Linked DNA regions of Coturnix japonica. The protein of the gene in region 2 purifies or fractionates together with the protein of the main gene of each other region. This does not show direct contact. Links are inferred from orthologs where the notes say so. Each region holds a gene or a part of one and is shown on either strand. Other genes may lie near its edges.

Region 1 (5,079 bases), on a different chromosome or scaffold from region 2:
TTGTTGCTGCGAAGGAGAGCAAACTGAAGAGTACATGTGCCCTCTCTCTGAATGGCTGAAGTCTCAAAACTAGCAGGCTTCCCTTTTGTAAAGTCTAATCACAGAAGCATGCAGGTTTGAGATTACATGGGCTGATGCGTTTCCAGCATTAAGAGATGCATGTCTGTTTCTGTTGGAGGAGTTTCTGTCTGTCACTGTCTCCTCAATTTTTTTTTTTAAATTTTTTTTGTAAATTACTTTTTGCTGATGTATCAGTGTGGGTTTACCATGCCTGCAGTACCCAGTACAGAGCACATTAAGAACTTTATTTGGGATATTGGGAGCAGAAGTGTTGTATTGTGTTGAAGAACTCTTTGCTGATAGATTTAACTCCTTCCATCTGTGAGAGCACAATACACGCAGGATATTCTGTTCACAGAATAAACATGTAATGTTGTATTGTTAGTGAGGAGAATTATATTTTGTTAATCTCTTTAGTGAGCCTAGCTGGTGATTGTTCATGAATTGACTGTCATTTCAGGAGGAGAGCATCCCCATTGCTTTGTCTGGTAGGGATATCTTGGCTAGAGCGAAAAATGGAACAGGCAAGAGTGGAGCCTACCTCATTCCCTTACTTGAACGGCTAGACTTAAAGAAGGACAACATACAAGGTCAGTTGGGATGGGTCTGCCTTAGCTGCATCCAGGTGGTGGTATTATTGCTCACTGTCTAGACTTGAATCTAAAAGCTGTTTGATGAAATGCAGTGATGTAGGTTGTCTGCTCACACTTGTAAAGCAAGTACATGGGGAATGGTAGAGGGAAGGTGGAATTTTATAAGTTGCAAGTTTCCCTTCAGGAACTTGAATTGGAAGGTATCTTCCAGACTTTACTTTCTTGCCTCAGAAAGCAGATTAGGAGTAATAAACATGTGGTGGCTGGGAGAGCTGTGTGGAGCGAGTGTGAGGGAGCACATGTGGAATTTATCTTGTTTTGAGCAGCTTCTAGGACTTCTATAGATACCTATCAGGATATTTATAGTGGAACTGCAAAACTTTGAAATATGGCTTTGTGAAGCTTCTATGTTCTACAGGGAAGTATTTAAGACTGTGTGTTAATAGTAATTCATGCTGATACTTTTAACTTTCAGCAATGGTGATCGTTCCCACCCGTGAACTAGCCCTGCAGGTCAGTCAAATCTGTATCCAAGTCAGCAAACACATGGGAGGTGCCAAAGTGATGGCAACAACAGGAGGAACCAATTTACGAGATGACATAATGAGGCTTGATGATACAGGTTGGTGCACTTTGTTGCATTACAGTTACTGTTTATTTGGGGCTTTTATCCTGGGTGGGAGAATTTGTACTTTTCTCTTTTGCCTGTGCTACTGTTTGCTTGTTAGAAAATAGTTTGTAGTGTGTCCTTGTCACTGTATGTGGTTATTCTCTCAAATGCTTGGTATAAAACATGTCTCTGAATGCTGGAAACACTGCCTGAGTTGCCTTAACTTTTTTTGCTCTTCTCACTCCACAGTGCATGTGGTGATAGCTACCCCTGGAAGAATTCTCGATCTCATCAAGAAGGGAGTAGCAAAAGTTGAGCATGTCCAGATGATAGTATTGGATGAGGCAAGTAGCTCATGTTAAAACATTTTTCACTTGTTAAAGCAGTGATGTGTCTCAGCCAGCCACCTCATTATGCACATCAACAAGTAGTTTTGCTTGAGGATATCAAGGTTATAGCTAAATCATTTCTTGGTGGTTTGAGAAGGTATTTTGGCAGAAGTTTTCTGGGTGTGAATTTTCCTAGGTTGCTTTCCTAAAAAGGTTTTGACTTCTGTTTACTTTTTTGTTGCTGTGGAACGGATTAACAGTCACTTCTGAATGGAGGGAATGCATTTTGTTTAGTTTCGGTTTGTAACAAATGAGTAGTGCTTACCACAAGTTCATATAAACTGATTTATGAACATCTGAGAGATTACAGGCTTCTGAGTGAGAAGGTTGAGAAAATAATCCTATGACAGCTCTTGGCGTCTATTTATTTTTCTTTAATTTGATTCTGTTTTGAAAACAGTTTTGAAAACCAGGAAATGTAAACTTCCTTTAAGTGGTGAATCCTGGTTCCAGCAGCTAAATCAAATATCTTTTAGAGTGTAGTGATTGTTCCAAAGGGAGTGAAGCTGGGGAGGAGACTATTCCTGGTGGTGTTTTCTTTCTGCTGTGTTACACTACCAGAGGACTGGGAGCCTGTCCCATCTCTTTAATGTCGTATTTTGTACTTTTGTTGTTACAGGCAGATAAGTTGCTGTCTCAAGATTTTGTTCAAATAATGGAAGACATTATTCTCACGCTACCTAAAAACAGACAGATTTTGCTCTACTCAGCCACTTTCCCTCTGAGTGTACAGAAGTTCATGGTGAGTGCAGTTGGAATCTTGTACATATGATTGTGACACTGTACATAGGGTACACGAGTGAGTGGTGTTCTTTTATTTACACAGTCATGCTTTCTTGGTTTAATATATCAGCCTAAATATGGGATAGAAGGTAATTGCTTTTAGTGTGGTCTGATGCCTTGGATTTATAAGCAATCTTTCATAAACTTTCTTGAAATTTTACCTGCCCTTTCTCATGACAGATACAGAGTGTCTGGGTGGTGCATTCGTGCTTTGCAGTTTAAGTGTGCCAGAGGACAGGATGTCTTTATGCTGTTTTGCATGTAGATACGCCTGCTTTATTTTATTTTGTCTTTCAGAATTCCCATTTGCAGAAACCCTATGAGATTAATCTGATGGAGGAGCTGACCTTGAAGGGAGTTACCCAGTACTATGCCTATGTAACTGAGCGTCAGAAGGTTCACTGCCTCAATACGCTGTTTTCCAGGGTAAGCAATAGGGTTTAGAGCCTACAAAAGCAGTTTTTCACTTCAAAATAAAATAGTAAGATTTAGGATGACAGGTTTTTCCATGACAAAATGTACTAATGATGCTGTGAGCTAGAGTTAAAAATAATTCTTATTCTGCACTTTTGTGCTACAGAACCTTGAAGTTTTTTTCCCCTGTTGTTCAGAAATATATGTTATGAATTGTTTGTAGCACCTGTTCTCTCTTTTCGAAAGGGATTTAGATGCATGCCTTAGATTTGCTGTGAAAATTCCATGTTTACTGAACACTCTGATTATATTTCCAGCTCCAGATCAACCAGTCGATCATTTTCTGCAACTCCTCTCAACGGGTTGAATTGCTAGCCAAAAAGATCTCCCAGCTGGGCTATTCCTGCTTCTATATCCATGCTAAAATGAGGCAGGTAAGTACAAAGTTACAGCAGTTGCTATCTGGGTTCTTCAGGTTTATTTAAATTTATGTGTGCTGTAAAAATGTATTTTGCTTTAGTTCCACTTTGTGTCCAGACTTTTTTTCTGCTCTTTCCAAACTGATCAGTTGGTATTTAGGAATACAAACAGAGCAGTACTCAGCCAGTGTGAGCTCACAGCGTGACTTGGCAAGCAGCACATCTTGCTCCACGGCTGTAGGGGAATCTGAGAAGTCAGGGAGACAGCTTTGATCAAAGCTCTCAGTGAAAGTACCAACTATTACTGCATAGCAGTTTTGCACCCATGGCCTTGCTGTAAACATGAAAAATAGCAACATGGTTTTGGTGCACAGGGATTTATGTTACTTGTAGAGTAGCTCATGTACTCAAGCTTCACACTATAGCTTTCCTTGTTAGCTAGTGAACTTGGAGACACTGACAAGAGGTTGAAGTGATGTGTGGAAGGTGGTAGGACTTTGAAATATCTTACATTTTGTATGTAAACTAGAACAAATTAAAACGACAGCTTTAATGGACACCTGGCTGTTCATTGGACTGACAATACGAACCTTTGCTGGGCTATATATGGAGCAGTAATTTAAGCAGAAAAGGAGCTGATGTCAGTGTTGAGAACACAGCTGTGCAGATGGATTGCTTGAGACCTGGTTTTCATTTCTCTTATTTTTATCTTTCTGGCAAAAAAAAAATGGAGGCATCGTTATTTGAGTGGGACACTGCAACTTGTTCATTTCACTCTCTGAAAATGAAACTGCTTATTAATCTGCATAGTCCAGTGTGGCTTGTTAGTGAGAGAATAGTCTGCGCAGGCACTTGGCTCATACCATCACTGATTCAGTGGTGGAAAATGCTCTGCAGTGGAAAATGGAGTTACTTTGAGTTTTAAAGGAAGGATGTTTCCAGATTTTATGTCAATGCTCATGAATATATTTTTAGGATGTAAGGTATTAATATACAGCATTTGGCATGGAGCTAGGAGAGATGATAGTCAAAACACTGGGAATGAAAATAGACCTTGGGAACAAAAGAAGTTTTGGTATTAAGAGGCAGAACAAGGAGTTTAGACTCAGCTGATATTCATGAAGGGGCGAGCGTGGGATTTGTGGTTGTAAATTGAGCACTCAACTGAAAGTCATAACTGTTCTTTAATTAGTTTATTTATGTGTTTCCAGGAGCATCGCAACCGCGTGTTCCACGATTTCCGAAATGGCTTATGCCGCAATCTTGTTTGCACTGGTAAGAGCCCCTATGCATTTCTGAAGGTTGTGGTAGAGTAGCCATTAGCCCAGGTATAATTGATGAACTGCTTAGTGATAAAACTAATCTGTTTTAGTAAGAGAATTTTTGTCATACCTGTGTGTAGCGGGCTGCAGTGCTCCTGTATTGCAGAATGACCCGGGTTGGAAGGGACCTCAAGGATCATGAATCTCCAACTACCCTCCCCCGCCACAATCAGGGCCACTAACTTCCTCATTTAATACCAGCCCAGGCTGCCCAGGGCCACATCCAACCTGGCCTTGAACACCTCCAGGGTCGGGGCAGCCACAGCCCACATACCACTCTCAGAGTAAAGAACTTCTCCCTGACATCCAGCCTAAATCTGTAGGCATACAGGCTTTCTCTTTTTGGCAACCTGTGGTGGTGCAGCTTGCTAACAAATCCTTTCATTGTGATGATAATTTGTACTTCAGTTATGTTTTCTTTATGTTCTAACATTTGAGTGTCCTATAAATTGTTGGATATGAAATAGTAGAAGAACTGTAGGTAGAACT
Region 2 (5,819 bases):
GCCCGCTTCGCCCTCGAGGACGTCCTGAAGGACGAGAAGATGGGCCTCAAGTTCTTCAATATCAAGTACCTGGAGGTGACGCTGATCGACATGGACTGGAGCTGCCCCTGCCCCAACATGACGGCCGAGGACGGGCCGCTCATCATCATGGGCTCCGTGCACGACGGCATGGCCACGCTGGACCCCGGCAGCTACGTGCGGGCGGCCAACGACAAGAGGGTGAAGAAAATCTACGAGCTGATGGAGAAGAAAACCTGCGACCTCCTCAACCGCTTCCAGGATTAAAGCCGGGCTGACAGACAGACACCGGGGCTGCAAACCCCGGGGGGACCCGTCTGAGCCCACAGCCCGTTGCTTTTATTGAGTTACTGTCACCATTCTGCAGCTCCATCCCTGTGACTTTCAGCTGCGCGTGTTCCCTGTGTACCCCCACCCAGACAGCAGCAATAAAGGGCGGGGTGGGGTTACAGAGAAGTCTGCCCTGACCCCCCCTCCCCTGCCCTGTCACACAGGGCACCCCCAGCCCTAACCCAGAGAGCTTCAGGATCCTCAGCCCTGAATATGGGGATGCAGAGAGAGCCCTCTGCCTGCACACTGAACTGGGAGAACTGTTATGACGGGGCTCCTGGCACAGGGACGTGGGAAGGACACGGCTGTGCCTCACCACGGGCAGCTATTTCTGCACCGGGTGATATTTCTTGGTGAGGAATTCCTCCCCACTTAAGAGCTCGTGTTTATTTTTGTTTCATCAATGGAAACTGATCCCTTCCAGCTCAGCCCTGCAATGCCTGGAATGGGAGTCTGGGTGCCACTTGGGCCCGTGCACATCATGCAGCAGCAGGGCTGGGATCAGGGCTGGGATCAGGGCTGGGTGCAGGGCTGGGTGCAGGGCTGGGTGCAGGGCTGGATGCAGGGCTGGGTGCAGGGCTGCACGGTGCATCCCACGGGGCAGCATTACCTTCGCACGTGTGCTGTCAATAAAGGGCACCCCCCGCTTTGCCCTCGGCGGTCTCTGCAGCCGGCAGAGCGCTGTGCCGCCGTCTGAGGGCGGAATTTCGGGGCTTTCTTTGTTTTTCTAATAAAAGCCCCCAAGCGGACACAGCGGGGAGTTCGGCTGCTCGCTTTGCAGGGAGGGCCGCGATTGTAGAACCGGAATCCCAGAGCGGTTCGGGTTGGAAGGGACCCTCAGAGCCCGCCCGCTCCCACGCCGTGCGCTCACTGCCCCCCCCGGCAGCTCAACCCATCCGTGATTGATCCCCCCTCCAAGGACGGGGGCTCCGAGTGACAGATTTCCTCCTCGCAGCCCCCCCAAATCTCCTTTCCTTCCCTTTAAAGCCGCTCCCCGCCCCGTCGCTCTGCCCGAGTCAAACCTCTCCCCGCTGTCTGGGGGCACGGAGCGCTGAGGGCTGCAGCCAACGGGCCCGGCCTCAGCCCCCCCTGCGTCACCGCAGCCCCCCCAGGGCCGGGCGCTGCCCCTCGGATTGAGAGCTGCCGTGAGCAGGGCTCAGAATGGGGCGAAAAGCAGCGATTTGTGTGGGGAAAAAAGAAAAAAAGAGGGGGGGGGGGAAGAAGAAAGAATAAGAGTTCAAAAAGAAATTTAAAAAAATTAAATAGAAGAAAGAAAATCCAGTTTAAAAAGTTAAGAGAACGCCGTGCGCCGCCCGGGAATCGAACCCGGGTCGCAAGAATGGGAATCTTGCATGATACCACTACACCAGCGGCGCCGCTGCTGCTCTCCCCGCTCCCTCGGCCTTATCCCCACTATCCCCACTATCCCCACCATCCCCGTCCACTCGCGGTGCGGACACGCCGTGGGTCCGTCCCTGCGCTGCGCATCGTGTCTGTGCGATAAAACCGCGCCGTGATGCGGCCGGACGGGGAGAATCGCTGCAGCTTCGGGGGGGAACCGGGACGCGGCCACCCCAACAGCGACGGCCGCGGGGACCCGGCACGAGGAAGCTCGTCCCGCCCCGGAACGTGGGTGACGCGTTCCCGGCTCCGGGGGTCACCGCCACGTGCGGGGTCTCCACGCGCCGCCCGGTCCGAAGGTCACCACGCGTGGGGTCACACACCCCACGTGGCAGCGCGTCCCACGTTGGGCTCAGGGCCGCCCCGCAGCCCCCACAGCCCCGCACCCCCCGCCGTGCCCCACGCGTTAATGATCCCACTCGCGTCTCTCCCCCTCCACGCGTTCCCCCACGATTGAGGCGCGGTCCCTTTAAGGCCGGGGGCGTGCCGCGGGCCCGGCCCGGCCCGTTAAAGGCCCGGCGCGGGGCGCTGGGTGCACTCGGCCGGCGGGAGCGGCGGGGCCGTGCCGTGCGGGGCCGGAGGGGCCGCACGATGTACACGCTGACGCGCGGCCCCAGCAAGTTGGCCACGCAGCGCCGCACCGGTACCGGGCGGGGGGGGCGGGCGGGGGGTCGGGGGGAGCGTTGGCACCGCGGGCACCAGCTCCGCTCCGCCCGGCCCTGACGCCCGTCCTTCCCCCCCCCCCCGCAGGTCCCACGCAGCAGCCGGTGGAGAGCAAGGTGGGCGAGCCGCGGGGCCGGCTGCAGCCCGGAGCGTGGCCCCCCGCCAGGTGAGCCCCGCGCCGCGCCGTGACCTTGGGGAAAGGTGACCGCGGCCGCGCGGCTCCGGGGAGGGCCCCGGGGCGGGGACGGGAACCGCAACACCCGCCTGGAGTCCGCCGAGGGGTCGTGGGGGGGGGAGGGGGGGCTGCGGGGGTCGCTCCGCTGCTGTGCTCCCCCCTCACCGCCCACCGTCCAGGCCCCGCGCGGAGCCCCGCGGTCCCGCAGCGCAGCCGTGCGCCCTGCAGGGCCCCGAGGGTGCGTGGAACCTCGTGTCCCCGTGTCCGTGCGCTCCCCGCGGGCCGCGCCCCCCCCGCCCCCCCCGTCGGAGTTGTGCAACCGCCGCAAAAGTTCAGGGGCGGCGGTGGGGCCGCACCGCGGGGCTCTGCCCGTGTCAGCCCGTATCGCCGCCCCGGGGCTGCGCTGTGCCCGGAGCCTCTGCCCGGTGCTGTCCCCCCCACCCCCCACGCACGGCCCGAGGGTCAAAAGGGGGAAAGTCTGGGGGTCCCCGAGGCGGGGGGGGGTCGTGTCCCCGTGCGGCGATGAGCCCCGTGCCCGGTCCCGCACGTCCGTGCTCAGGGAGCAGCCTTCACCCCTTTTCTCTGCCTTCAGGGAACAACCGAGAAATGTCTCCCCCCCGCCGCCCCCCGCCCCACTCCTGGCACAGCCGCTCAAGGCAGCGGTGGGTTGTGGGCTGGGGGGGCACTGCCGGCCCCGCTGCTCTGCACCCCCCACCCTGCGCTCCCGGGGCCTCTCAGACTTTGTCCCGTGAGCGCTGGGACTCCCGGGTTCCTCCCGGGGCTACGCGCTGACCCTTCACGTGGGTCCTGTTCCATGCGGACGGTTTCACCTTGTCCTTTAGGGCAGCAGCTCTCCCGGGGGGGCTGTGTGGGACGGGGCGGCCCCGGAGCTGCTCCCCCGCTGCAGGGCTGCCCTCCAGCTCTGCCCTCGCGTTGCTTTCACCGCGCTGTGCTGCTGTTGCTCCTCGTGCACCCGGCCCGTGTCACAGCGCCGTGCCTCAGTTTCCCTCGTGTTGTGCAGAGCAGCAGCAGCAGCTGCGGGGTTCCCATGTAGCAGCTGTGACAGCCGCTGTGTCCCCAGCTGGGCGGCCTGCAGGGCACGTGGGGCGGGCGGTGCGTTGTGCACCCTGATCTGCTTTATTTCCCTTCTTATTTTTGGGCTGTTGTCCTGCTGCCTCCATCCAGAGCAGAGCTGGAGCCTGGAAAGCACGTGTCCTTGCTTGGGCTCTGCCAGGCGTGGTGGCCGCCTTGGGGGCAGGATGGGGGACAGCTGTGTCTGTTGGTCCATCCTTCCCCTCTGCTGGAGTTGGGGGCTGCGATGGGGCAGTGCCGGCTGATGGCACAGGAGCTGCGTGGTGCACACAGGGTGGTAGGGCTGCCCCGCTCCTCGTGTGCCCCCAGGTTGCCCTTCTCCCCTCAATCCCCTCTTTCCCCAGCCCAGCCCAGAAGCTCATCTTCAACAGAGTGAACGGCAAACGGCCGCAGGTGCTGCTGCCGCACAATTCTGTGCCCGAGGAGAGTTACACGGCCGCCCACGAGGAGAACGTCCGCTTCGTCTACGAAGGTGGGAGAGGCTGGAGGGGACGAGGGGGGGCTGCAGGGCGCCGCCTGCCCTGGGGTTCACCCCCAGCCCTCCATCCACAGCCTGGCAGGAGGTGGAGCAGCAGCTGGACGGGGGGCAGAGAGGGGAGAGCACCCGTGGGCCTGTGCAGTACGTAGAGAAAACCCCGAACCCCCGGCTGAAAAGTGAGTGGGGAGCGTGGAGGGGGAGGGAGGGGGAGCAGGATCTGGGGGAGCACATGGCAGAGCCGCCCCCGGCTGGGGGTGGGGTGACATACCGGGGGGGTCCCGTGGGCTGTGAGTGGGGGACATCGGGTGTCAGTGTTCCTGGTTTGGGTGGGTGAGCCCAGTGCTGTGCAATGGGGTCTGGCTGTGGGGCCGTGCCATCACCCCCTGGTTCTGCTGTGGGGTTCTGCTCTCATCACACAGGATGGAGACACAGCGGGGATGGGGTCAAAGTAAAGGCAGAGTGAGGGGCTGGGCAGCAGCTGGAAGTGAGAATGTCACCGAGCAGAGCAAATGCCCGCAGCCGTTGGGGAGCTGGGGAGCCCTGGGGCTCAGGGGGGTGTTTTTCCCTGTGCTAAATGGACGGCGCTGCTGGGAACGCTCCGTGCTCCAGCTGCGATCCCTTCTCAACATCCCGTCTCTTTCAGACTTTGTTCCCATTGACCTGGAGGAATGGTGGGCGCAGCAATTTCTGGCCAAGATTGAGAACTGCTCCTGAAGGGAAGGCGGCCGTTCCCACTCCCACTGCGGCCCTTTTTCATTTCCCCTCCCCTCTTTTTTTTTTTTTTTTTTTTTTAAAAACCACGACAAAACAAAACAACAACAAAAAAAAAACCAACAAAAACCACCAACACCTAAAAACCGACCCCGACAAACCACGCAGCCAGGAGCCTCCGGTCGGATGCGGCGCTCGGTGGTATTTAAACAGCTCTTCCAGCCCCGAGGACAGCGGGATCGGAGCACAGCCATGCCCGGTGCGGGGCGGAGGAGCCGCGTGCGGCCCCGGCCGGGATTCCTTAAGTGCCAGTTCTGAGCCCGCTGCAGCTCCGGGACACTGCGGGGTGTGCGGGCAGCCCCCCCCCCCACCATGCTGGAGGACAACGGGTCACTGTAGCAGGACAGACAATAAAGCGCTGAAACTGCCTGTGGTTGAGGGGCTGGTTGGACCCGGGGGAGCGTTGGCGGCCCAGCGGAGGGGTGCAGAGATGGAGAAGTTCGGATCGTCCCCATGCAACAGCCCCAGGGCTGCCCGCCGGCCTCCACGTGGAGCTGGAGGTGCTGGTGGTTCGGGGGGGGCTGAGCATCGTGGCTGGGAGCCGTGCAGGGCTGTGCTGTCCCTGCAGCCCCGCGTTATCTCCGCGGTCCCCATAGGGGTAAAGCAGCGGGAGGAGGGGGCTGGGGGCAGCCCTGCAGCGCAGCCTCTTCCTGCAGGACGCAGCCGCTGCAGGGGGCGGCCCCACGAAGGGCCCCAGTGCAGCTTTGCCTGGGCTGATTCCTGCTGGAGCCCTATCGGGTCCTCAACAGACCGAGCCGTGCAGGGTAGGAAACCGATCGCTGAATGTGAAGGAGGCCAGAAAACAGCTGGAAAAAAAAGGAAAGCTTTATTCTCGTGGTGGGAACAACAACTGTGCTGCAGCCCAGCACAGCAGCCACAGCCCCTTCTCAG
Region 3 (5,079 bases), on a different chromosome or scaffold from region 2:
TTTTATTTGAAGAGCTTTACAAAAACAAAATAAAGCTGTGAAATTTCCCAAGTTGGTATGAAATAAACTCAGCTTTGTAAACGCTGCTCAGTGTCTCAACCAACAACAACATGCAGGACACGATAAGTATAGAGAGCACTGTTAGGAATATCAAATTATAAACATCTAAAAAATATATGAAGGCAGTTGTTTCACAAAAAGCAGTTTCAAATTTAACTAAAATGATTCAGTCACATTTTGTTTATTTAAAAAGAAAAGAAAGACGACTATATTTAAACAAGTGCAGAGTAGAATGTGATAGGATGAGCTGCTTCAAAGATGAATCAGTAGAAAACATTAGGTCTAAGTTTGCATTGAGGCAGGACAAGTCCCTAGTAGCCAAGTGTGTGCAGGGAAACTTTGACATGTGATCCTTGGTAACTGTATTCAATAGAATCTGAACTAAACGTATCTGTACTCCGAGGGTACAGTAAGGAAAAAACTTTTAAATTTTGAAGTGCACTCAGGAAAAAAAAAAAACAACCAACCATAAAGCTGTCCTGCACAGCACAGTCTGGCAGCCCTGGAAAAATGTAAACTGGTTACCTAAGCTCCCTGAAAATGTGCACTCTCTCTCTGGTATTGTAGGCTCTGCTGGAGCCAGGTGAGAGAAGCGTGCTCATTCAATCAGTAGCATGTTCTACAGCCTGCCTGATAAATGCTCAGCATGAGCCATAACCAGATGTGGACAGTAGCAAACATGTCTGCACAGTGTTCTACTGCCAATTAAATTTATCAGTGTGAGATTTCTTTGATGTAGCAAGATACAAAGAATCTGTGTACAAATTCAGTTGTTTTTGAGCACTTGTGATTGACTTGTCAGGCATGCAGTGAACTGCTTACTGTAACATGAGAATTGCTGGGAAGTGTATTCTGTAAAATACTTGCCTGTATATAATTTGGATTCAAGTGTGCTTTAGATTCATGATTAAAATAGAAGCTAATGTTTAAAGTTTTATGTAATCAGAAGAGGTACTCGGTATTTTAGAGCCGTATATAAATGAAACCAGGAAATTGCTACCTGTACTTCTGATACTGATCTAAATGAAAAATGAACTGTAATCAGCCAGATTGTCTTCTGCTCATGCACCATTTTTCCTTTTAGGGTATCAACATTTGAGTGTGATCTTGTAAAGAAATTGTTATTAGGATGTAGAGACTGTATGGCTGCTTAGACTTGAGTATAACTTTTCTGTGGCAGCTGTATAAACTGTTCAGAATTACTGTATTTTCTTATGACTTCAGCTTCTGGTGTGTTAAACATGCATGACTGGAACCTTGGGATAACAATAACTTGTTTAGTTGTGATTTTGCTGACTTGTTAATGAATTGTGACCTGCTGCAGGCAATTCAGCCTCTGTGCAGAATGATCTGCTGGAATTCCCTAACAGTGCTGGTCAGCCAGTGTTGGCAGCTGCTCTGTAAATCAATGTTTGCCATCATTGACCACCTGACAAAAATTATGCAATTATTTTATATACATTAATGTGCTTTTACTTAGTAAGGTAATGAGGATGCTGTTAGTCTGGCTGAACCAATGACTTGACCTTTTTGGTCTCATAGATGCCTGGTTCTAGTCAATGGCAGTGTGATTGTATTATTGCATCTTAGATTAAATCCACTTTTATAAATAGTCAGTATACTTAAGTATGCTTTGTGATGGATGTTGAGTACTTATTGTGTGGGGTTGTCTTCTTTTTCTCAGGGCCTCCACGGATGTCTCCTAAGGCACAACGGCACCCTCGAGGTCACAGAGTCTCTACTGGTAGGGGTACAATTTCAAGTGGCTTAGAATTTGTATCTCATAATGCACCAGGGGAAGCATCTACTACTGCAGTGGCACGAGGCAGCCCTTCAGGTGGGACGTGGTCATCAGTTGTCAGTGGGGGTAGGTAAAGCTTGGCTTATTGCAGATGGCTTGCCAGGGGTACCTTAGAGTCTTAATGCTAAGCAGAGTACTGTGTTTTTAGACAATTCAGGCTCTGAATACACTGGTCTGCTAACTTAGCTTGCTTAGATGTAGCTGGAGAAGGGTGTTATCAGATAGTTTAGTGTAACAACTGGTCAGTTGGTTCTTAAAGCGTAATATTGTCTGAATTGCAGAGAGGACAGGTCAGTTGCTGTATGAAAGGAAGGAAAAATGTGGGGATTAGTTGTTGAAAGAAATAACCTGGCACATTATTGAAGGAGATGAGAAAAAGTTAGATACTTTTTGTCTGAATTTGGTCAGTGACTGTATAGCTGGATTGTTATGACTTACCAAGGAGCGAGGTGTTTGGGTAGAGGAAGGCTGGCATTACAAGGAAATGTGAAATGGTACTCAAGTGAAGTTGGATGTACTTTTTTTTCTTTAAAAAACGATGCAGATTTTAAGTGGTTGTTTTGTGTTTGTCGTAAGTACCGTAGTAGCAGATATAATCAATGTCTTTTCTGAATCAGCTAACGCTTTTTTTTTTTTTTTTTCCCTCCTTTTTTCATGTTTGATTTACATTTAAAGCTCAGTCTTGTGACATCAGCCCTGGTTTTGTAGTTGGGACTGTGTTCTGGTCAGTCGTCAGCAGCTGAGTGCTTTCTTGATTCCAGGTGCAAGTGAGCAACAGTTCAGAGTCTGATACTTTTTAGTGCTGTTAGAATTCTAGGGAAGGGCAATGGGAAGGCATTTTTTAGAAAGCATGTAACACATAGACAACCCCATAGACCTGGTTGCCTTGTGGAAAACTTTTAAACGCTTCTGTTCTGGCTTTCTCTCCAATTCATCTACCCTCCCTACTCCAACTTTATATATCTGTGACATGCAAGTAGAACTGTTAAAAGACTTACTTTTCTTTCTTCTTGCTCACTTGAAGTTTATGTATGAATGTATGACATAAAGGAACTATCTAGCCACTGTGGGATGAGCAGGAAGCGGGAGGTATAACCTTTTAAAGAGCACACAGCTTTCTTTGCTGCTTTAATGCAAGGACAAAAGTGGCCATCAAGTCTCTCAATGAGACATGCATGGGTTGTTTTTGTTTTTGTTTTTTTGCAGCTGGCAAACCTCAAAAGGATTGCATGCTGTAAAGGGAAAGGTGGTTGCGTTGTTTTTCTTTTTTCCTCCCAGCCTTTAAAAAAATGTTTTGTATTTGTTTGTATGGAGATAGAACCACCTTTTTCTTTTCTGTCTGAAACTTTGTTAATATGATCTCTCATACCACTGAGGGACCAGAGACCACATTATGGTTTCTTGGTGGATTTGCAGAGCAGTGATATATGTTAGGGGACAATCTGCAGGAAAATGGCACCATTTATCTGAAATGCTGCATTGTAAAGAGCTAGGAGATGTACCTGAAAGGTAAATAGGTTTTCAGTCACTAGATAATGTTCCATTGAATTTTTTAAAGCATGTTCTTAGTTGTTTTAAAATTAAGCAAACTGCTGAGCAAATGAGGAAACTTATCCTATAACTGTTTTTTCCTGTTTGTTTCTAGTTCCGAGATTATCCCCTAAAACACACAGGCCTAGGTCTCCAAGGCAGAGCAGCACTCCTGCAGGACCAGCTCTGCCTTCTCCTCAGCCTGGTACTATTCCCACTGAATCTGTTGCCATGCCTGTTCCAGCTGCCTCTCCGACACCTGCCAGCCCTGCATCCAACAGAGCAGTTACCCCTTCCAATGAAGGTGAGTAACTCTCGCTAGCTGGCAAATGCTTCTGCTGCCTCATTTCTGAAAATGAAAATCCCTTTGCATGACCAAAGCTGATATATGAAATGATGGGAAAAATTCTGACTGATGCATTTGATTTTTCTATGTACTGAGTTCCTTTTTTCCCTGTGATGACGACTTTGAAGTAAGGTTCAAACGGCTTTCTAGTTAGACTGTATACTTAATTTCCTCTGCCCTTTAGGAGCTATGAAGTATGGGTGTTTGACCTAATTTAGGACATTTTTCTTTTTTCAAATGGATGTTTTGCTGTTTTCTCATTTGAAGAAGCTCAGCTCACTGATTTCTTAGAATATTATAAGCGTGGTGAAAGAATAAACATTTCAAGAGCACAGTCATAAGGATCTAACTCTCAAATCTTTGTAAAATTACATAAGAAGAGCTTTTCTATGGGAAGTAATGTCCTTTCATTTTAAAGTTTATTCAGCCTAGCTAAGGATCTGCGTGTGAATTGGAGGAGTGTGGACTGGGATAGTTTCATTTGGCTTAATAAGCATAGGGTGGGCAAGGAAGAAAGGTAACTCTCCAAGCCCTAAAGAGAACAGAAAATACGTAACATAGAGATTTTCTTTTGTAAGCTAAATGTGGTTAAATCTCTCTTTTGTTCTTATCTTGTCATCTCTTTTTAATCAGTTTTAGTTGTGTATCAGAGAGTAACTTAGACAATTTCCTTTCTAGCTAAAGATACCAGGCTTCAGGACCAGAGGCAAAACTCTGCAGCTGGAAACAAGGAGAATATAAAGCCAAGTGAGAGTTCTCCTAGTTTTCCTAAACCTGAAAGCAAAGGTTGGTATCAAAAGCTTCTGTAAGTACTTGAGTAATGTATAATCCTGAGTACTAAACCTGCTATGTTGACTAGTTTAGTTAACATTTTAAGGAAGACTTTGAGGAGGCTATCTGTCTTGGATGTTATGTAGAGAAAATGAGGTCATGCAGTTCTAAAGTGACAGAGACCTACAGTTTTAAGTGTTGTTCTTCACTCATTTAATCTACTCGCAGTATAGAGATATTCATGTGGATGGTGTGGTTTTTGTTTTGTTTTTTTTTTTTCCTTTTTTCTTCCTTTCTCCTGGCCTGGATAGGGTTCTTAGAGCTGTGCACACAATACTTGTGGTCGTTGTGATCCACACCATTTTTTATAACCACGCTTCTTCCTATTAAGCCTTAATGTCGCCTTTTTCTCTGCAGCATTGCTTGTTATTGCATTTCTCATAAAAATCTTTTTACATTGTGGAACTTAATCAGCATTTCAGCTTTAACTGATACTTTTGAAATGTTGGCATGTTATGCTTTGAGGGTTTTATTGCACACTTCTTTGTGTTTGGCTGGGTTCTGCAGTCCT

Evidence for each region. The genes of interacting proteins can lie anywhere in the genome.
Region 1: the proteins of MCRIP2 (region 2) and DDX6 purify together in Homo sapiens (co-immunoprecipitation; 5 studies listed by BioGRID and IntAct, with this or other methods). This does not show direct contact. The link is inferred for Coturnix japonica from reciprocal best matches to the Homo sapiens genes MCRIP2 and DDX6.
Region 3: the proteins of MCRIP2 (region 2) and ATXN2 purify together in Homo sapiens (co-immunoprecipitation; 3 studies listed by BioGRID and IntAct, with this or other methods). This does not show direct contact. The link is inferred for Coturnix japonica from reciprocal best matches to the Homo sapiens genes MCRIP2 and ATXN2.

The regions. Positions count from the first base shown.
Region 1 is NC_029539.1:4,832,494-4,837,572, reverse strand, and holds part of DDX6 (probable ATP-dependent RNA helicase DDX6), read left to right. Parts: intron 1-520; coding exon 521-650; intron 651-1,128; coding exon 1,129-1,275; intron 1,276-1,512; coding exon 1,513-1,607; intron 1,608-2,271; coding exon 2,272-2,394; intron 2,395-2,732; coding exon 2,733-2,861; intron 2,862-3,166; coding exon 3,167-3,283; intron 3,284-4,479; coding exon 4,480-4,543; intron 4,544-5,079.
Region 2 is NC_029529.1:11,893,446-11,899,264, forward strand, and holds MCRIP2 (MAPK regulated corepressor interacting protein 2), read left to right. Parts: upstream 1-2,261; 5' UTR 2,262-2,340; coding exon 2,341-2,392; intron 2,393-2,499; coding exon 2,500-2,578; intron 2,579-4,023; coding exon 4,024-4,151; intron 4,152-4,231; coding exon 4,232-4,333; intron 4,334-4,800; coding exon 4,801-4,871; 3' UTR 4,872-4,956; downstream 4,957-5,819. Other genes in the region: WFIKKN1 (WAP, Kazal, immunoglobulin, Kunitz and NTR domain-containing protein 1), read left to right, coding at 1-285.
Region 3 is NC_029530.1:5,318,433-5,323,511, reverse strand, and holds part of ATXN2 (ataxin-2), read left to right. Parts: intron 1-1,744; coding exon 1,745-1,927; intron 1,928-3,506; coding exon 3,507-3,695; intron 3,696-4,415; coding exon 4,416-4,523; intron 4,524-5,079. UniProt on the Homo sapiens protein: Involved in EGFR trafficking, acting as negative regulator of endocytic EGFR internalization at the plasma membrane.